Caenorhabditis elegans: one gene and its partners. Changing the gene in region 1 together with any one later gene gives a genetic interaction. Each region holds a gene or a part of one and is shown on either strand. Other genes may lie near its edges.

Region 1 (8,681 bases):
TCAAATGTCAAAAACCGTATTCGTGTGTGCATTCTAGATGTGGAATGGATTTCTGTTGTGCTCACACTTGTAAGTGCAAATATGAATGTTGAAAGTAAATCAAATTGTGCTTTTCCAGATAAAATTGACCAATGGAAGCGACAACAAGAAATTGAAGCCGACATTAAAGAAGCAGAAATGGAAGATGCTGAGCTCTGAAAATTGTTCTTTATTTCGTTTTTTCCTCACGTTTGAACGTCAATGTTTGCTCATTGCTCTCTTGGATTAGCTTTATTTGCAGAAACGTTTTTCACTTTTCCTATTCGCTCAATTTCTTTTTTTTTTCAAACTTTCTCCATAAAAAATATTGTGTTTTATTTTTGAAAACGAAGCAAGTCAAAAGGACGTTATTGAGAAAAAGAGTGAGAAAAGTTCACACCGATAATTTTTTACTCTAAAGCGACAAACATAGTTGAAGTGGATGAAATTTGAATTTCGCGCGCACTGACTGTTATATAAACTTGTTTTTTTTTAACAAACAGAAAGTTTTGTATTAAAAAAATCAATCTAGAAAATGAAAAACTTGAGCGTCTACTTAAAATTATAATAAATTTTCAAGCATATTCTCTCATTTTTCAAAAAAATGTTCAGTTTCTCTTTTAATTCCTCAGTATGCACTGCATTATAAGCTTTGATGTTTTCCCCATTTAAACTACTCCCTCTTTAAAACATATTTAACACTTGATTACCCATCAAAATCCCGATTAATTCGATCAAGATGTTTGGAAATTTGAGAATGGGAAATCTGATTAGTTCTTGATAAATTTGGTTTTTATATATTTTTTTAATATTTTTCACTCTGTGAATAGACATGAAAATACAACAAAAAAATTTAAAAATTGAAAATCTTCTGGAAAACTTTTGAATTAGTTTTTCAAAAAGTTGGCAGTAGGCTTCAAAAACTCAAAAAATTGATTTCAAAAACTCAAAAAATTGATTTCAGTTTGAAAAGCGGCATTTTCAATATTCTAGAAGAACCTGATTTCAATTTTTAAAAGTTAAAATTAGAAAAAAGTTTTGCTATAGTAAATAAACACCGTAGTTTTTGTTAGTTTCATAACCATGTGAATCCAATAGATCACTGTTCAAAAATTGTAGAAAAAGTCAACAAAAACAACACCAGAGATCAGAGCCATGCGATTGATTTGAGAATTTAAAATCATTCAAACCTTCCACGCAGGCCGAAGTAACTGATCTGGAAGTTGTGCTTTATAAAAAAAACAGACATAGTTCAGTACTTAAAGCGGAAAACATTGTGGACACGCAGATTGTGCTTGTGTTTTTGGTTGAGGGTTTATTTTACTGATAGCCTATATCTGACGTACTGATATGTATTTCATGTTCTTCTACAAACGTTTATTGAAAACTAGTAACTTCTCCGTATCTGCTCTTGACTGTGTCTAATCGTTACAACACTTTTCAATTGGGCTTGTAAATTAGCCTCAAGGTTACGTGGTAAGGCGAGACACACTTCCGATTCTTTCACAGTACTTCTCACCGATTTGTTGCCCATTGCAATGATGCCTAATTCCTTCGGCCTGTTTACGTGTTTAGAGGGCAACACGTAGATGCATGTTCTTCTCTGGTGTTCTCTCTTCCCATCTCACACTCCCTCACTCGGTTCCATCGCTTGTCACCGTACGCCAGACAACTACTCTCTACAAAAAACACACTGCCTCACCCCCTCTCCCCCTATCTGCTGTCCACCACCTGCACCATTCGGCGGGGGTGATGGCGATTGGAGACTGGGGTGACCGACCGAAACCATTAAATCGACGCTCACTGTTGCGTGTATGTGTGTGCCCTCCCTTTCTCCTCCTTTCGCCCAGAAAAACACTCACACAAACAATATCGATTCGAGTATAGTGTGCAAGGTGAAGAGACGGAGGGCCCGACGGGGTGAGCACACAAACAACATTGGTTTGAATTTTTTCTGCCTTGCGATGTTTCGAAAAGTTGCGTATTTAATTTGTTGTGATGTGATATGTTTTGTTTTTTTTGCCAGTTTTTTTCTCTTAAATTTCATAATAAAATCAGGCAGTATTATATATTCTTTTCTCAGCCCATCAAAACCAACAGGTGATTATAATCGTGAGAAACACGAACGTCTCCCAGTCTTCTTCCTTCTCAAGCCCTTTTGTCTTCATAAAAGTGTTTGCTCGTTCTGTAAAGCGCACAGATTTTGGTGCGATGAATCATGCGTAGTTCAAAATCAAACAAAGACAGAGACTCGATGCTTGCAAGTTTTGTTACTTTTTTATTCTCACTTCAATACTTCTTTTTTCACCGCTCTTTAATATCTTTAATATCTTCCTTAAAATTGTGTTTTGCAGGTACTATGGCTCCCGCAACGGAAGCCGACAACAACTTCGACACCCATGAATGGAAATCGGAATTCGCATCCACACGCTCTGGACGCAATTCTCCAAACATTTTTGCAAAAGTTCGCCGGAAGCTTCTCCTGACTCCACCAGTTCGAAACGCCAGATCGCCACGTCTTACCGAAGAAGAGCTGGATGCTTTGACAGGCGACTTGTATGTTACCCCCCTCCCCCTTTTTCTCATTCAAATTTCGCGCCACATACGGCCGAGGTTTCACGCGCACCTGCTAGGCCACGTTTTGTTTGTGTATTTTGGAACTCAGTTTGCTTGTACTTGACGCCCTAGAAGCCTTTGACAAATATGTAAAAGCTGTGTTGTTCTGAGCAGTGAGGTGGAAAAGAGGAAAAGTAGAACACCAGAAAGTATCGGGTTACAAGGGTGGGTTAAGGCGAAGGAATCTGAGCGGGAAGAAGAAGAATAAAGGTCACTTACCAGTGAGCTCTTGGTGGTTCCGTTTCTTTTTGAGTTTTAAGTCTGTGTGAATGTTGGTTGTTTAATTTTAAATATGTAGTGTTTACAAGTCTTGTATAAAAATTAGAAAACCAAGGCGAAACGAAACCTATAATAGAAGATTAACTTTTCCTGGCATTTTCAAATGTTGAACTTATATTCCTAATGTAATAAAATTTTCATAATTTCTTTTTCAGACCATACGCAACCAACTACACATACGCATACAGCAAAATCTACGATCCATCCTTGCCGGACCACTGGGAAGTGCCAAACCTTGGTGGTACTACTTCAGGATCACTCTCTGAGCAGGAGCACTGGTCAGCGGCCAGTCTCAGCAGACAGCTTCTCTATATCCTCCGTTTCCCCGTCTACCTTGTTCTTCACGTCATCACCTACATTTTGGAAGCTTTCTACCACGTCATCAAGATCACTAGCTTCACCATCTGGGACTACCTGTTGTATTTGGTGAAACTCGGTAAGTTGTTTTTCTGCAAAATGTTAGAATTAAAAAAAAAATTTTTTTTCAGCGAAAACTCGTTACTACGCCTACCAAGATCATCGTCGCCGTACAGCTCTCATTCGCAACCGGCAAGAGCCATTCTCCACTAAGGCTGCTCGTTCTATTCGTCGATTCTTTGAGATCCTTGTCTACGTCGTGCTTACTCCTTACAGAATGCTCACAAGAAGTAACAATGGCGTGGAACAGTACCAGTACCGTTCGATCAAGGATCAATTGGAAAATGAGAGAGCTAGCAGAATGACGACAAGATCTCAAACATTGGAAAGAAGCCGCAAGTTTGATGGATTATCGAAATCACCAGCACGCCGAGCAGCTCCAGCCTTTGTGAAGACTAGTACAATTACCAGAATCACTGCCAAGGTGTTCTCGAGCTCTCCATTCGGAGAAGGAACGTCCGAAAATATAACCCCGACTGTTGTGACTACTAGAACAGTGAAGCAACGCTCAGTTACCCCAAGATTCCGCCAAACCCGTGCCACTCGTGAAGCTATAACTCGAGCACTCGATACTCCGGAACTCGAAATCGACACACCACTCTCCACATATGGACTTCGAAGCCGAGGACTGAGTCATCTGAATACTCCTGAACCAACTTTTGACATTGGTCATGCTGCTGCAACTTCCACGCCTTTGTTCCCACAAGAAACTTACAATTATCAATACGAAGAAGCGACAGGAAATAAGATTAAAACTGCATTCACTTGGCTAGGTTACTTGATATTGTTCCCGTTCTTTGCGGCACGACATGTATGGTATACGTTCTACGATTATGGAAAGAGTGCCTACATGAAGCTGACCAATTATCAGCAAGCGCCAATGGAGACTATTCATGTCAGGTATGAACATTTTAAATTTATGATGACCGAGTTCAATTTTTTTCATGTTATTTATACAGAGATATCAACGAACCGGCACCAAGTTCATCAGATGTTCATGATGCTGTTGGTGTTTCTTGGAGAATTCGAATTGCCGATTTCTTGAGCTCATTCGTAGCAACAATCGTTGAAGCGCATCAAGTGGTATTTGCAATGTTCAAAGGAGGAATTGTTGAGACAGTTTCCTATTTTGGAGGACTATTTGCTGGTCTTACCGATAAGAAATCATCAAAGTTCTCGTGGTGTCAAATTCTCGGTCTACTTCTGGCTCTTCTCTTCGCCATCTTTCTCCTTGGATTCCTGACATCTGACAACACAGCAATAAGAGTTAAAGAAATTACCAAAGATAAGAATGCATCTAAGAAGTCGGAAGGATCCCTCCCAGCTGTGCCAATCTGGATTTCAGCTGCAAATCACGTTAAACATTACACATGGATGGTGAAGGAATTTGTTGTAGATATTGGTATGTTATAAATCTCATTTTTCTGTTCAGTGTAGAAAACAACATCTTTAAATTCCAGCATTTGACACGTACAACTATGGAAAGTCGACGATTGGTAGACTTGGCACTACTCCACGTTATGCTTGGGACCTGATTGCAAGCGGATGTGGCGCTGTTGGAAATGGCTTAAAATCTGTGCTCTCATCGAGTTTTCGATTCATCGATTTTTGTGCTGGAAAGCTATTTTACTATGGCTCAGATGGGTTCTTGTCAGCAAACAAGTCTATCGGAACCTTTTTCAACGGTTGCTACGAGACCTTGTACAACGGATGCACAGCAATTGGTAAGGAAAATACAAATTGTATGCAGTCAAAATGTGGTAAAACTTTAAAAAATTAAAATTCGATCAATCCATTATGCTGGAAATCTTTAGTAATTTTCAACATCTTATCAATGGGACATGAGTATTAGCTTTTATTTTTCAGAACAGTAATTTACTTGGTATTTGTGAAATAGAAAACTGAATTCCAAAATGTTTGTAACGAATGAAATAAAATGGAAATAAAAGTGTTGAGCAACATGCTAGTATTATTTTATTTTTCAGGCTTAGAACTTATTAACTTTTTGAGTTATTAATTGAGTAGAATCCTAAGCCTAAAATACCATTCACGTTTTATTTAATTTTTTTTGAAACATCAAAAAACTTTTGTAGTACCAGCAAGTACCATTTACACGTAAAAAAATGATATTATCTGTTTTCACTATTTGTATTTACAACAAGAAAGACACTACAAAAAACCAAAGAAAATCGCTTTTTTTACAGTTGGCCATACAAAGAGCTTCATCTACAATGCTTCAAATGCTGTTTACAACTTTTTCTCAACTATCTTTGCCGGTCTCTTAAACTTTTCTACTTCTTCCCAAAACTCCATTCTTTCTCTTCTCAAGTCATTTGGCACCGGAATCACTAACATTTTTTGTAAGTGCTACAATTTTCAAACTATAAACTTAAATGGTGTTTTTTCTTCAGATAACTTCATTTATGCACCAATCGCTGGAGTGTTCAACTTTGCTGGTGATAACTACATGTATTTCTTCAATGAGGTAGCGGCAGTCTTTGGAAAAGTGTACAACTCCGTGGTTTCCGTGCTCAAAACTGTAATTAACTGGATTCTCTTCCTCATTGCCTACCCATTCAGTTTGTGCACTCGTGCTTGGATTCGCATCAGCCAATATGCTCCAGAAGATGTTGTTCAAGTGATTCCAATTCCACAAGCTATTACCCCAACTCCGGATGTGGAGCGTATTGTTGAAGAGCCACTGAGAAAAGTCACCGATGTGGAGGACGAAGAACTAGTGATAATTCCCGCCCCCGCACCTAAACCTATCCCAGTCCCAGCGCCAACTCCGGCCCCAGTAATTATCCATCAGACTAACGTTGTTGAGACTGTTGACAAAGATGCTATCATTAAGGAGGTAACGGAGAAGGTAACTAACTAATCAATTATTGAATGATTGATGTTTTGTACATATGTACATAATAAAGATTTTTGTTATTTTTAGCTTCGCGCCGAGTTGTCCGCCCAATTCCAGCAAGAGCTTAGCGCAAAGTTTGAGCAAAACTACAACACAATTATTGAGCAACTGAAAATGGAAAACACCAACATTCAATATGATAAGAATCATTTGGAAGCTATCATCCGTCAAATGATCTACGAGTATGACACGGATAAAACTGGGAAAGTTGACTATGCCCTGGAGAGCTCAGGTGGAGCTGTTGTGTCAACAAGATGCTCGGAGACGTACAAAAGCTACACAAGGCTGGAAAAGTTTTGGGATATCCCAATCTACTATTTCCATTACTCTCCAAGAGTTGTCATTCAGGTGAGCGCTTTAGGATCCTCTGACTCCAAGCCTATTATCTTTTCATTTTCAGAGAAATTCCAAATCCCTGTTTCCTGGGGAATGCTGGTGCTTCAAAGAATCCCGTGGCTACATTGCTGTCGAGCTGTCTCATTTCATTGATGTTTCTAGCATCAGCTATGAGCACATTGGATCAGAAGTTGCTCCAGAAGGGAACCGGTCGAGTGCTCCAAAGGGAGTCCTCGTTTGGGCTTACAAGCAGATTGACGACCTGAACTCGAGAGTTTTGATTGGCGACTACACTTATGATCTTGATGGCCCGCCACTTCAATTCTTCCTTGCCAAGGTAAGTCCGAATGATTAATTCTTGACAAGTGTGTGGCTATTATCGAATTAACATTTTCAGCACAAACCCGATTTTCCTGTCAAGTTTGTGGAGCTCGAGGTGACAAGCAATTACGGAGCTCCGTTCACATGTCTCTACCGCCTTCGTGTTCATGGAAAAGTTGTTCAAGTTTAATTTATTTTGTTAATCTTGTTTTTATGGTCAAATTTTCAATTTCCATTGATCTGATTCCGAAATGTTTCAATTTCACCCCTCTCCTGCCAATTTTTCAAATCACAATTCATTTTCCCAAATTTTTCCAGTTCCCTTGTTATATTTTTAGCGCGTGTCCATTTTTTTTCAAAGTATAGAATATCATTACATTTTCATGCAGTTTACCGGTCTCCTGAATACTTGGCCTGAATATATTTGAATGCAAAACCAATCACTCTCTATTTCTCTGCAGCCTTTACCCCCTGATCTCAAAATACTTTATCGATTTTCATAAATTATTTCAATATCTTTTGTTCTTGTAAAACTGAACTAAAACCCATTATGTGGAAGAGTGAATAAGTGTTAGATTGGCATAACAAACCGTAACCGATGGATTCGCAGCAAACGACATTAATTGAGTATACCGCCTAACACATTCATTGATCATTTCTTTTGTATTCCTCGGGCTATATATACTAAACCATGCGAGAGCGTTAACATTGTATTTTCTTCAATTTTCATGGAGTCCTGTGTAGATTTAAAATTACGAATTTTCAAATTTGTGGCGTACTCTGTCGTTGGAAGCTCAGTAATAGCTACAGCGTTTCTTTGTGTAACACTACCGTTGATTTACGAGCATGCACAAAATGGAATGATGACTATTAGCAGAGAAGGAGCATATTGCAAGGTGAGTGATAAACTAAGCATTAGTAATGTTTTGTGCTGAAATAGTTTTTAGTAGTGTATACCTGAACATTTTAGTAATTGAAGTTCTTCCTAGCAAAACATAATTGTCATTTTACATAGAAGTTTGCGGCAATTAAGAGTATAATATTTTCAGAAGTCTATAAACGAAATCTGGTTTGATATGACCGAAGATGTCGACATCGTCCACAATCGAACAATTCGCGAAGCTTACACTGTTACTAGAGGTGAAGGTAACACTGGTTACGCTGTTGGAAGAGGAAGCAATATTAAACCCCGCGGCTATAATACTGGGTATAGATCCCAGAAAAAGAAGAATAATGGTTGGAGAAGCCCACCACGCAGCGGAATTGTTGTTGCGTCAGAAGGAGGAACCTGCATGGGATGCTGCAATCCAGGTCCTCCCGGTCCATCTGGCCACCCAGGAAAACCAGGTCGACCAGGAAGACCAGGTGGTCACGGGATGCCAGGAATGCCCGGACTAGGCGCATCGCCTTGCCAACCTAGAACTCAATCACAGTGTCAACAATGTCCACAGGGACCCCCAGGCCCTCCAGGTCTGAACGGACAGCCCGGCCTGCCCGGTGGAATGGGGCCACCAGGTCAGTCAATGTCAAACGTACTACCAGGACCTCTAGGACCACCAGGACCGCCCGGGCAGCCTGGTAACCACGGTTTGGCAGGGCAACCAGGAAGTCCTGGACAATCGGTGCTGGGCGGAATCGTCGGGTTTGCTGCACCAGGCCCAATGGGTCCTCCTGGACTAATGGGGCCACCAGGCTTGGATGCACAAAATGGAGCAAATGGCTTTGGCCCGCCAGGACTGCCAGGACCACCAGGACCACCAGGAAGACCAGGAAGCGA
Region 2 (7,088 bases), on another chromosome or scaffold:
CGTTTTCTTAGGATCCACGTTTTCTACTTTTCTCCCGATGATGATGTCTCCGGAAATCATCTCCTTCACTTTGACGTTTTCTTTGTCGACGAGAGTGGGGAGAATCAGATGGAGAATCAGAATCTTCGGATGAAGAGGATGAAGCTGAAAAAAAAAGTTTAATTAAAAAATAGACAATAATTTTAAGGTAACTCACTGTCATGTCTATTAGTTCGTCTTCTTCTAGAAGTCTTATTTTTATCTCTCTTCTTATCCTTCTCTGCTCCTGAAGCTTTCATCTTCTCTTTCAAGCGTTCTCGCATTCGAATTTCCCTCTGCTGAAGTAGAGCTTGCCTCAATGCGTCTTCTTGTTCTACAGGTTGTTCTTCAAGTTCTTTGATTTTGCTCAGCTCATCTTTCAACTTTTCTTCTTCTTTTCTCTTTCGTCTCTCTTCTCGTGCTTCAATTTTTTCAAACAGAAACTTCAAAAGACGAACACCTTGCAAACGGCGAGTGGCTCGTGATCGTTGCTCTGCTTCAAGTCGTTCCTTTTCAAGGCGTTTTTTCTCTTCTTCAGCCATTCGTTCGAGTTCCCTCTGAAATTTCGTATGTTTTATTATGATTTTTTGAAACGTTTCAAGTGAACCTTTTCGCGGCGTTTCCGTTCTCTATCTTCTCGTCTTCTATCTTTATCATCGAGTTCTTGTTTAACTTTCAGTTCTTCTTGACGTCTGAAGAGGTGAGTTATTTTTAAAATTGTAGCATCAACAAACTTGATATTCAACTCCTCTTCTTCTTGCCGCAGTCGTTCCGTTTCAATTTGACGTCGTTCTTCCGCTCGCTTTGCAATTTGAACTTCGCTGAGATGACGTGATCGATCGAAATCCACCTATGAAATTTTAAGCTATTTCTCAACCTTAATTCTGGGAAATTAACTAACCTGTAGAGTGGCACGAGGTGATTCGTTTCAGCGAAGAATATGCAATTTTTAAAATTGATATTGAACGTTTAGAAATAATGTGATAGATTTTTCAAAATTGCAAACTAACTCTACTACCCTACTATACCTTGACATTAGCCTGAAAGAACCGTCCATCAATTCGTTTTGCCCATTTACGATTTCTCAGGGAATCCATGGCAGTGGCGAAACCTTTATACTCCATAAATTGCACATATGCTTCAAAAAATACATCCTAAAAATTCAATTCGTTTGATTTTACAAATAAAACACTGCGATACCTGCCCTAATCCGAAACCTTTTTGCTGAATACCAGAGATTTTTGAATTCATTCGAGATCGGAGTGGGTCACAAATTGGAATGTCGACAACTCTAACAGATCCGAACGCTTCCATTGCAACGCGAAGACGTCGTTCAGAAGGAAGATCATTGTAACCATCCTAAAAATGTGTTTGGTGAAATAAATTCGAATGCAATGTTATGGAGCAACGTACGCAGAACCATTTCACTGGAATTCTTGCCAAATAAACTGTATCAGGACGTTCTCCGGGTTTCATCTCGTCCATCTTATGTTTCATAAACCAATCATCCCAATCATGACGACTTGGAAAATCAAGCTTTGCCTCTTTTGTTTTAACTTTCAAGGGCTCAGCAAATCCAGACACTTTCATAGAGAATCCATCGAGAATCTTCATCGTTTTCTGCATGATTCCTAGCGAAAGAAGTTCCGCTTCAAAAATAACACTGTCGATATTGCTCTCACGAACTTTGCAAGAATCCATTTGAATTGGATCAATTGCACGTTTTAGTCTTTCCATGAGATCCCAATTAGATATTGATTGTCCCGGGATCGTCATCTACAATTAAATAATAAATCGATGTAATTATGATAGTTAAAAAAACGTACCCGAGGCAGCACTACGGTAATTTTTATAACAGCCATCGGTTTCAGATACAAGTGTTGCGCCTTGTTAAAATCTTCAGCTTCTGATCCCAGGTAATCGAGAGCAGTGGGAAAATTTCGCGCCATGTTGACAAAAGGTTTAATTTTTTTGATTAAAATTTGCACTAAAATAGAAGAAACATCGATATAAATTGAAGTTCGATCGAATATTCGATGAAAAATTGTTCTTCGAATAAGTTGTCCGAGAGGAGTTCACCACATGGGGACGAGGAATGAATTTGGATTCTAGGCCATGCAGTCTTTTGAAGTCCACTCGGACAAAATATTATGAAACATTTTTGTTGCTGTTTACTTGATTTCACGAGAATTTGTCAGGCTTATTTTTTGTTCCACTATTTTTCGTTCAATTAAAAAAAAATATTGTTAAATTACAGAACATGAGCCACACTCAACAACAAACTGCTTCAAGCACTGAAACCTCTACTGTCACCGTTCCTCCATCTCGAGAACAGAACTTGGTGCTTCATCTTAGTCCAAATCCAGCTCAGCCATCAACTTCAGAACGGCGACACGTAGTTTGGGCCACCGAAACAGTGGATAACGAAGGAATGGGCAAGAAGAAGAGCAAATGCTGTTGTATCTACAAGAAGCCCAAAAATTGGCAAGACTCAAGCTCGGATTCTGATTCGGATTGTGAAACCGGTCATTGTCGTGGCCACGTCGAGCACAAAAAGAACGAAGAGCCGAAGAGCTCTAATTGAGCATATTTCATAATCGATTTTTCCCATTTTACCCCTCATTGTCCGTCTCTTTCCCAAATTTGTGCATACTTTTGTTTATTTATTTTCGTTCGTTATTCCGAATAGATGTTCAATAAAATTATTTTTGAAGAATCTTCATGGCGTCAGATGTGATCTTCGACGAAGTAGTTGACGTCTTCAACAAGATTCGGCGGACTTCAAATGTGAAATCAAAGCAAGCAACCTTTCAGAAAAACTTTGAATCATGGAAAGAAAAGTGTAAGACAATTGGGCGAACTATTACAATGTGACGTTATTCTTTTAAATTCAGGTTCTGATCCATCTGATATGTTTGTCATAATACGGTTCTTCGTTTCGGATTACGAGAGGTTCAGAAAGTTCGACATGGGACCGACTAAGTTGGCAAGCTTTATGGCAAAAACTTTTCACGACGTCAGGGCTGATTACGTATCAACTATCTCGAAAGATGCATCAACAGCAGCTCGTCAGTTGGCTGAAAAGATTTCTGAAGAATATAGAACTGAAAATGATGAATCTACAGTAGTCACGGTTTCCGAGTTGAACGAAATTCTTGATTTCTTAGCGGCGGGACCAATGGATGATGGGAACAGTCAGTTATTGGCTTACACCTTTTCCTATTCAAAAAAAAGTTTTCAGAACGAGATAAGATGTCGAAACTCGTTAAGAGATGCTCTGAAGACGAGTTGGAATGGATTTTCAACGTAATTCTTAAGAACGTTGAATCAGCTCTTGGAGCCCCAAGTAACAGGATTCTCGACTGGATATCGCCTTCTGCTTGTGCTATTTGGGATCAGACACATGATTTGAAAGCAGTTCTAAAAGGAAAATTGGTAGAAAACAAAGGAACCAACGAATTAGGAGAAACAAATGATGATGACGATGAGCATCTTTTTAAAATATGGACACCCATGTTACTTCAGAAGCAGAAAAGAGGTGACTGGTATGCAAATGTGAGTTTTGGAATTCAGTTCATAATTCAAGTACAATTTATTGTTACAGATTGAAAAGTTTGGAGGTCAGAAATTCTTTCTGCAAACAAAATTCGATGGAGAGAATGTGCTGCTTCATAAGAAAGGAAACGAATATCGATGGTTTACAAGAAATAACAATGATTTTTCGAAGGTTTGTTTTTGATTAATAACTTATTACGTATTTGTGGTATTACCCGGACGCGAAGTTTTGCGGCCAAATACGATACCGGGTCTCGACACGACTTTTCTGTAAAATGTAGGAAGGTGTGTGCCTTTAACAATGTACTGTGATCCACATCTAAATAATATGTTTAAAAATTCAGAAATAAAAATAATATTTAAAAAAAGTCGGCTCAAAATATAAACTTAGAAATTTTTTATTCGAAAAATTGTATCCAGTTTGGGATTTTCAGGAATACGGTGATTCGTCAATGGCAATCGGAAAGCTCTCCAGTCGTATACATTCATTTTTCAATAAAGAATGTGAATCGGCAATTTTCAACTGCGAACTCATGTTATGGGATAAGAAAACGAAAAAACTTTGCCGTCACAACGATGCTTCAACCACATCAGATGCTCAAGTTTTATCATTCCGACATGTCAAACCTGACGATAATCAACAATTAAGTGAGTTGAAATGAATTAAATTTATGCAAAAACTTCACATTTCAGCCGTCGTCTTGTTTGATTTACTGTACTTAAATGGAAAACCGTTTTTTGGAGCACCACTTCATCAGAGACTCGAGATGCTCAAGATTGCTCCACTGAAAAAAGAACGAGAAGATACAATTTTTGTGGCGAAACATGAGGAGGGGAGTAAAAAGTTTGTCGAAAGCATTCATAATTTTTGGGTCTTCATCAACTTTTTTTCAGAGAGGACATTCAACAATTCTTTGAAATAGCAATGGCAAATAATGAAGAAGGAATCGTTGTGAAGAGAACAGATAGTGTTTACGTGAAAGGACAAAGGTAAAGCTGGAAATAATATTCTAGTTCAAAGTCTATTCTTTATTTTCAGAAGCGCTTCTAATGGATGGTTCAAGCTGAAACCGTCTGCATCAAAGGACTGTGATCTAGATCTGGCACTAGTTGCTGTACATCCAGGAGCTGGAAGGAATGGAAAAACGCTCTACAGATTTGCGGCTTTTGATGAGAAAACTCAAGATTACAAGCTATGCCTCTCATGCTCTTATGGACTTTCTGACACTGTTCGCGAGGCGATTCGTTTTGAGTATGGGCAACTCCTAGAAGAAGCTCCTGAAGAGCTCACATTTTATGGAAAACGACCGAAAAATATTGCCAGAGGAGATGGTGGATACATTGATTTCGAGCGCTGGCAAGTGATTAAAATCACATCGAACGGTGTTCGCAACGGAAAATTGGTTGATCCTGTTATGAGAGAGTGGAGACTTGATAAGCCTGTTGAACAGGTCAACACTTGGGAAGAATTTTCAGACTATGCAACGGCACGTGTCAAGTTTTAAACGGAAGCGAAGAATTATTATTTGTATTTCAGAAAGTTCAAGAATGTAAATTGGGTGATAACGTGGACAGTGATGAAGAAGATTCTGAAGATAAGAAACCAGATACTTTGAAAGTGGAACGAATTACCCGCAAAGCTATTCATCAATGTAGACATTCAGAAAATTTAATTTTGATTTATTCTTTTAATTTACAGCAGCTCCTGTTCGTCTGAAACGTGCCAAATTAGAGTCAAGTTTGACTGGAATTGAAGTCGCCGTTCTTCAGGGAACATCTGAAACAATTCGACGAAAGTGTGAAGAGATCTTGAAACATTTTGATGCAACTGTAGTGAAAGGAATAAGTGAGTGATTTAGTTTTCAAGTTGAAGTCGTTTTCAACGAGTCATCATACCCCGCACAACAAACTCAAAATTCCATTAGTCACCATTGTGCTCATATCCTTCTACTTATACACAAGCTAGAGACAGTGATAAATAGTACAAGTGTTGAGTCGGCTCAGAGCGGCCAGCTGGTCTGTGTTAGTGGTGTTACTCATCAATTGAAGTGGGCCAAAAGACAAGAAAGATAATCCTGAAACCCTCGAGCGGACAACGTTTAATCTGATTGATTTACAGTTGCGCATATTTTTTGTGTGAATTAATTATGAAATATAATCTTCTAAAAATTAGACTTTTTATCCGATCTTCAATATGAACTTCTTTTTTCAGCTCCATCCACCAAATTATGTATTGCTACTGCTCCAAAATCCACACACCCTAAAACAGCTCAAGCCATCGCTTCGAACTCTTGTACTGTTCTGAAACCCGCCTGGCTCGAACGTTGCAATAAAGATGATCTGATTCAGGCTTGGTTGCCTTCTGATGTGTTTCATGCCATCGAAGGTGGATTCGAGATTCAGGAATAATTTACTAATTTCGATTATATGTGATATCGCTCTTTATTTCCTTTTTGATAGATCTACTTCATGCAGTTTTATTGTTCTCCGCATTCCTGTGAATATGATATTGATCTATGAATAATCTTTTACCAATTTGTCATCTTATATAACAAAATATAACACATCAGTGATTTGTCCAAGAATTGTTTATTATTAGACCGTAAATCATTATTCCTCCGTGGATTGACAGTGTCTCTTGAAAATTGAGATTTTATCAGGATAACTCGTAAGTCCCTTTTTCTCGCCAGATCCCTGAAATTCTTTGGAGACATCTCTGCATCATCATGCGACAACATTCACAAAAATACCAAACAGCAGTAGTGGCATCAGCTACGAAAGAAGAAGAAGAGGAACCGAAGACACCGATCAATTTTCGACAAGAGACACACAACTGACACTCAACTACCACCAGGGGGTGGGCACGGATTACGGTAGTTTTGCATGGCATGAACAATGTTTAGAAAGGAAATTCGAAACATAAATTTAAGGAAAATTAAGAACTGTTCATATTGTCAGTGTTCATTTTTTGATTCCTGCTTTCTACTATCCATACGTTTCAGATTCTTCCGTAAAATAGTTGTATAAACTATTCCAATTGATCTTAGAAACATTTCGCGTATTGAATTTATTTCAGCTTTTTCGTTCAGCTTTTCTGCAATTTCCATATTTCTCTCTTGTAAAACTCTCCGACGTATTTGTAAAAGTGGTCTCGCCACGATCCATAGCACTTAACAAAGATCGTGACCAACATAGAAGTATTACGCAGAAGCGAAATTTTGTGATTACTGCTCTATAACTGTCCTCTCTTGCCACGACAGATTTTCGTTAAATGCAAAAATTTGTGCACCTCAAAAGACTACTGTAGGTTTAATCGGGGTTTCCAAATATTCGATCAAAATAAATTTATTTATCTAAAAACTCGAATAAAACAATAAATTTTTTTAAAGTCGTGATTAAAACTATAAATATCGATGAAAATTCCGCAGCTACGAGAATTTAAGATTACAGTACTCTTCAAAGGTGCAGACCTTCTCGCATTTAATTTTTTTTTAAAGTTGTCGTTTTGAGACCGG
Region 3 (6,035 bases), on another chromosome or scaffold:
TTGAAAGTTCAAATTATAAAAATCTGCTCTCACACGTGGTGTCAGGCTGTCTCTTCTCAGTTTGATCTACAAAAAATGCGGGATTTTTTTCCCATAAAAATTGTGACGTCAGCACGATCTTAACTATGCGAAATCAGATGAGATGTCTGCGTCTCTACTCCCGCATTTTTTGTAGATCAAACCGTAAAAAGACTTTTCTGACTCCACGTACAACTAAATTAACAAAAATATTAAGGTGTGCTCATTTATTGTACCCATTTGAAAAATAAAATAAATAAATAATTTTTCAGTTCAACATAGAATCCTTTTTCTTTCCTTTACCCCCTTTTTTGAGTTCTATTTTAGCAAAAAACCACACTAATCACCTTGAAAACTCACTCACACTCACACATTTACACTCACACACACACACGTTTTTGTGTTTCATTTTCCAACTATTCCTCCTATTATTTTGTAGTGTCTTCAATTCACGCAAATATGGGCCTCTTCTGTCACTGTATGTTTCTCATCATTTTTCACCGCAAAACACACAATGTTGTAACCGTATTTTATGTGTTGTGAATTGAATTCTTTTTTTGCATGATTTTCCCCTTATTTTGTCGTGATTTTCATGCACAAATCTGTTTTTTTGCGGAAAAAATGGGTCCTGGCACGATCGGGACTTTATAGGCGCTACAGTAACCGAGAGTATGGTGGATTTTGGTTTTTTTTTGTTAGCTAAAAAAAACTATTATCCAGACGCAAAAAGTACGGTAACCGGTCTCGACACGCTTGTAAAATTCGAACGGGCGTGCGCCTTTAAAGAGTACTGTAATTCAAAACTTCAGTTGTTTTGCGAAATTTTCACAGTTTTTCGTTGAAAATTTATTTTTCTAGAATTAATTCTATGAAAAATGGATGAAAACCCCACAGAAACAAATATTTAAAACTACAGTACTCTCTTTAAAGGCGCACACCCTGCTGTATTTTAAAGATAAATTATCGTGTCGAGACCCGGTACCGTATTTTAGCGTTAAAGGTACATGGTTTAAAAAAAGTTCCAGGCGTGCCAGGACCCACGGCCGAGATTTTGCACGAAAAAAATTGCTTTTAAATATTTTTAAATATGTACTTTTTTTTGGATATTTACTGTGATTTTTATTGAAATTCACAAGTTTTTCTCAAAAATTCAATAATTTTTCCAGCCAACCCTGCAATTTCGCCCGCCTCACTCTGGAATCGGCAGGATATTAATGAGTTCAAGGCGAATATCAAGAAAGACGGACACGAGGGAATTATTAAAGTTGGACACGGCGAGACGGTGACGGTACGGGCAATTTTTGGAATTTTTACGAAAAAATGAACAGAAAAAAAAACGGAAAATTCGTTGCTTTTTGTGCATTTTGTGCCTTATTTTGGTTCAAAAACTATAAAAATTTTGAATTTTTCTAGGTCCGGGTCCCAACTCACGAAAATGGTTCATGTCTATTCTGGGAATTCGCGACGGATCACTACGATATTGGTTTCGGTGTCTACTTTGAATGGACCGTAGCCGACAGTAATCAAGTTTCGGTGCACGTTAGTGAATCCGATGATGAGGAGGATTATGATGAAGCACTTGAAGCGGAGCAGGCGGAAGCTGGAGGTGGTGGTGGAGGAGCCGCTGGACAGGGTGGACCAGGAGATGTGGAAGCTGGAGCCATGCAGACAAGGTAGCTGCTTGAAATGACGGAGCTTTTGACCGCAACACAGCTGCGTGCGGAGCGGCTCGAACAAAAAATTTTGATTTTATTTTTTGGTCCAGATTTCTAGAATGCAGAATGAAAAACAAACAAATGACAAAAAATCACGCATTCTGGGCTAAAAATAAAATAAAATTTTTTGTTTGAGCCGCTCCGCTATGCAGCTGCGTCGCGGTCGTGGCTGAGGCTGAGGCTGAAACTCTGTATTTTCAATACATATAGAACCTCTGAAAGCCGGCTTAGAAATTAAAAAAAAGGCTTATAAAGGCCTTATAAAGCCTTTGATAGCTTTAACCATTTTAGAATTCATTATTATTGGCCATTTTCAGACGTGTTGATCCGAACAAGCCGCGGCAGGATGAAATAATTCCGGTGTATCGTCGAGATTGTCACGAAGAAGTGTATGCGGGAAGTCATCGTTATCCGGGTCGCGGAATTTATCTGCTCAAATTCGACAATTCGTATTCTTTGTGGCGTTCGAAGACGCTCTACTATCGTGTCTACTACAGTAAATAAGTTCTTAAAAATAATTGCTGCAAAAGCCGCTAATTTATTTTTTCTTTCTAAATAATTGATTTATTGCATCCTCACCATCATTTCCAGATGAAAACATCTCGTTTGACTTTAAAAAATGTAGATTTCTCTTTTTTTTGTATTTTTCTTACCATATCGTCGGTTTTACATTCTTCTTTGGGAATCCGGACTTATACTCGATGTCTCTCTCCTTGAACGCCTCTTCTTTCCCCGTCTTTAATTCATTTTTTTTTTGTTTGATACAATAACGCAATATTCCAGAGAAATAACTATTTTATAATGTATTTCATGCGAAATAAATGATGAATAACTGGAGTTTTTAGTTGGAAATTTACTTTAAAATGAGAAAAAAGCGAAAAGGAGAGAGTTAGAATTCAAATATCGAAATTTCGCGCCATGGAGCATGCGGGATTTCGGAGTGTCGTTGTGAGAATTTGAATTTTAAAAAATTTTGTTTTTTTGTCTGAAATTAATTTTAATTGTTTCCCAGCTGAATTCTGCTTATTTTTCAGGATTTAAATATGTCAGATGAAGAATTCGACATTCTAGATGATGAAAATAGTCATGTGGCTGCATCCCAACACGTGGAAGATGGTAAAAACTCAAATTTTCTTTATTTTTTCCCGTTTTAATCAACAAAACTTCAGATGATCCTGATGATCGCCACAATTCCGGAAATCGACGAAATTTCTCGATGGCAATGACTCAGAAGCTGTTCGGAAATCTGGATGGAGCCGGCGCCGAGAATCACGTTTCCTATGCTGAAAATGCGTACGTCACGCCGAGAAATCGCTTCGAAGAGATTTTAAAAGAGGAAAATGTGAGAATTGTGAACGATCAGGACGAGGGAATGATGGATATGGAGATGGGAAGCTATGAGAAATGTGTCGTTTTTGGAAATAATTTAAATAGCGAGGATCTCTGTCGAAATTTGGAAAAACGAATGGAAAATGATAGAGGAGAGACGTTTGCGGAATTTCTGTTGGCTTGTGGAAGTGATCAAGACATGTTGGCTCTTTTTCTGAGCCCTGCAAAATCGTAAGAAGATTTTAATCGTGAATGAGCTTAAATGTGGTGTATTTTCAGACTATTCGGCCTGCAGGACACAATTTTCCGGGCTTTTCTTCAAATCAAAGCGACGCAAACCAAGGCCTTTGATTTTTTGCTTCAAAAACTGAATATTCTAGCAAAACGGCAGGATGAGAGAGATTTGCTGCTGGCGCAGACTTGTGTGGCCCATATGCGCCACTTAAGCCGGCTCTTCGAACCACAAGCCGTGTTCAACACGATTTTCGAGTTTCAATGGAGATTCTGGAGCCCCAACGTCAGAAATGATCTGATCGCCGCGCTTCCAGAGATCTTCACCGATATCTCTCTGCAACAATCCACCGCTGTCCGGCTTCACAAGGAATGCTCAGAGACACAAGGTGTACCCGGTCTTCCATCGTTTCAGCTGCAAATTATAGAAACTCTACGGCTTCTGCGCATGGATCCCGGCACCGCCAGGAAGATTCGAATGGATCTTTGCAATTTGTGCATGGATTTGGATCCGGCGTGTCTTCCATCCCTCGTCGCGTTCTCTCTGGGAAGCTTGTTAGTTTTTCAAGGCAAGGCCGACGATGAAGAAGCTCATTTTCATGAGATGCTCCGTCAGCTCGCTCGTCTTCTGAAAATCGATGGTCTCAAGAAGAAAACCAGCAAACCATCTTCTGATTCGCTAATCGTCGAGGTTTTCGGTCATTTTCTAAAATTCTTCCGACTCAACGATAAACGCGCCTGGAAGCACATAACCACGTGGATTTCCAAAAGTAAGAAGCCTGTGGTGGCGACTAAACCGGAAGAGGATATGGATTCAGAAGAGACCCCGTCGCCACCGGAGGAAGAATCTGCCACGTGGCTTACCACATTCGAGGCTTTTCTCTATTTCTCGTTGCTCTCCAACACGGAATCGTGTCCGCCGACGTTCGTAGCGGCGGTTAATTCGAAAATCCTGAACATTCCGGCCGCATTCACCACGAAATTTCTTCGAATCATCGATCTTGTCATTTCATGCAAGAAATTCGCCACGTGTCACTTGCCGGCTCTAATCCACGTGGCACGGCACTGCTTCTGGTCGTCGGATGGAAATGTTCGACAGATGGGTGTTTCAATGTGGAAACAATTGTTTGTTGGAATGGAGAAACGGGATAGAGAGGTGCTTAGTTAGTCGAAAATTCCGGAATACTACTGAGAAAACGAAGAAAAACTGAAAAATTCAGCCTTAAAACGTGATTTTCAAATTCCCACCAAAACGAGACCTGCGACCAATCAGCGAATCGCTCCGCCCACTTTCAGACCAATCAGGCGGCGTGGGCGGAGTTTGACGACGCTGATTGGTTCGAAAGTGGGTGGAGCGAATCGCTGATTGGTGGCAGTCCTCATCTACTAATTTTGGAGGAAATTTAGCAAAAAATTGGTTAAATTTGACATTTTTTCTCATCTTTCGTTGGTATTTCTGAAATTAAGGCTGTTAATAGCGTTCTAAACATCCAAAATAATCTAAATTTCCGAAATTTCATTTCGAAAAAACGAAAAGAAAAAGAGAAATTGAACACAATCTGGTCGTTGAAGCTGAATTTTTCATTTTTTCGCCATTTTTTTCATTTTTTATGTTATTTTGGAAATTTATTCTATTCTGGGTGCTCTCAACATCAGTAACAGTCTTAATTTCAGAAAAACCACCGAAAATAGCGAAAAATGAAAAATTCAACCTAAAAACCGCGATTTTTCAATTCCCTCCAAACCGAGAACCGCAACCAATCAGCGATTCGCCCCTCCCACTTTCCAATCAATCAGCATCCTCAAACTCCGCCCACTTCGTCTGATTGGTTTAAAAGTGGGCGGTGCGAATCGTTGATTGGTCGCAGTTCAGGTTTTGGAGGGAACTCAAACAAAATGCTTTTTTTTTTCACTTTTTTTCTGTGATATTCTGGAATTTTGGACAATTTTGAGTGTTTTTAGGGCAAAATTCTCAATAATATAATTTAATAAATTTTTTCAGAAAGTCTTCACCGAACTTATGAAGCACTTTTCCCAAAGTGAAACCGAATGTGAAGCCGTCCTCGATGTATTCTTTAAAGTTATTAAATCAACGAATTCCAGTGTAATTCAGGAATTTTCAACGCAAATTCAGGTTTATTATTTATATATTTACAACGAATACATCAAATATCACAAACACACAAAAAATCGAATAAAAATGCAAAAAAAAACAGAAAAAAATCGTAAATTTTATCCACAACCACCTCCTCCACAGCAACCGCCTCCCATTGGTGGTGGAGCGACTCCGGATGATGTTGGAAGTCCTCCGATGTTTCTTCCGCCTCCACCTCCACCGCCTCCATTCCGCCTGTAGGCATTTCCACCGCCGCCTGCTCCGTTAACTCCGCCGCCTCGAACAATATTCCGGTAGTCTTGAGAATTGCTGTTTCGGTTTGTAGGAGATGTGAAGCCGAGCAGTGAGCGGAAGCTGAATTTTAAAAAATATATATGATTTTTATTGAAAAAATGATTTTTCCTAATTCAAAAACTCACAATAACATGATAAATGTGAAGAATCCGACGATCATCTCGACAATTCCTTTTTGCTTCTTTTCGAGCACATTTCCATCTGAAATATCCTATTTTTAGGGACAAAATTGCTTTTTTTTATCGATTTTTTTAGCATTTTAGTCAAGAAAAAACTCACCTTTATCGATATAAACCATGCTTGAACTGGTTTCTCTTCACTTTTTCGCCCTG

What was found.
Region 2: of unc-84 (region 1) and lig-4, changing one enhances a phenotype caused by changing the other (phenotypic enhancement), as found in Caenorhabditis elegans (one study listed by BioGRID).
Region 3: of unc-84 (region 1) and fcd-2, changing one enhances a phenotype caused by changing the other (phenotypic enhancement), as found in Caenorhabditis elegans (one study listed by BioGRID).

Annotation. Positions count from the first base shown.
Region 1 is NC_003284.9:13,582,403-13,591,083, forward strand, and holds unc-84 (Nuclear migration and anchoring protein unc-84), read left to right. Parts: upstream 1-2,372; 5' UTR 2,373-2,377; coding exon 2,378-2,574; intron 2,575-3,068; coding exon 3,069-3,349; intron 3,350-3,401; coding exon 3,402-4,230; intron 4,231-4,289; coding exon 4,290-4,732; intron 4,733-4,790; coding exon 4,791-5,054; intron 5,055-5,534; coding exon 5,535-5,690; intron 5,691-5,741; coding exon 5,742-6,199; coding exon of another isoform or gene 6,200-6,211; exon of another isoform or gene 6,212-6,269; intron 6,270-6,274; coding exon 6,275-6,595; intron 6,596-6,647; coding exon 6,648-6,920; intron 6,921-6,980; coding exon 6,981-7,094; 3' UTR 7,095-7,419; downstream 7,420-8,681. Other genes in the region: srf-5 (WAP domain-containing protein), read left to right, coding at 1-69, 119-198; col-9 (Nematode cuticle collagen N-terminal domain-containing protein), read left to right, coding at 7,633-7,800, 7,954-8,681. UniProt on the Caenorhabditis elegans protein: Involved in nuclear migration and anchoring in hypodermal precursor cells. Most likely recruits anc-1 to the nuclear envelope where anc-1 functions to tether the nucleus to the actin cytoskeleton.
Region 2 is NC_003281.10:7,518,731-7,525,818, forward strand, and holds lig-4 (DNA ligase IV), read left to right. Parts: upstream 1-2,732; 5' UTR 2,733-2,739; coding exon 2,740-2,860; intron 2,861-2,912; coding exon 2,913-3,212; intron 3,213-3,259; coding exon 3,260-3,573; intron 3,574-3,622; coding exon 3,623-3,745; intron 3,746-4,007; coding exon 4,008-4,221; intron 4,222-4,266; coding exon 4,267-4,417; intron 4,418-4,467; coding exon 4,468-4,563; intron 4,564-4,612; coding exon 4,613-5,064; intron 5,065-5,114; coding exon 5,115-5,225; intron 5,226-5,272; coding exon 5,273-5,419; intron 5,420-5,539; exon of another isoform or gene 5,540-5,625; intron 5,626-5,785; coding exon 5,786-5,982; 3' UTR 5,983-6,140; downstream 6,141-7,088. Other genes in the region: akap-17A (RRM domain-containing protein), read right to left, coding at 8-144, 197-575, 626-710, 753-868, 1,047-1,172, 1,219-1,377, 1,432-1,794, 1,845-1,967; C07H6.2 (E3 ubiquitin-protein ligase PPP1R11), read left to right, coding at 2,279-2,602.
Region 3 is NC_003282.8:15,022,945-15,028,979, forward strand, and holds the start of fcd-2 (FANCD2), read left to right. Parts: upstream 1-2,761; 5' UTR 2,762-2,776; coding exon 2,777-2,849; intron 2,850-2,902; coding exon 2,903-3,293; intron 3,294-3,341; coding exon 3,342-4,449; intron 4,450-5,295; coding exon 5,296-5,427; exon of another isoform or gene 5,428-5,525; coding exon of another isoform or gene 5,526-5,763; intron 5,764-5,828; coding exon of another isoform or gene 5,829-5,904; intron 5,905-5,982; coding exon of another isoform or gene 5,983-6,001; exon of another isoform or gene 6,002-6,034; intron 6,035-6,035. Other genes in the region: Y41E3.7 (Golgi resident protein GCP60), read left to right, coding at 458-496, 1,185-1,306, 1,432-1,691, 2,051-2,237; Y41E3.8 (Glycine Rich Secreted Protein), read right to left, coding at 5,526-5,763, 5,829-5,904, 5,983-6,001.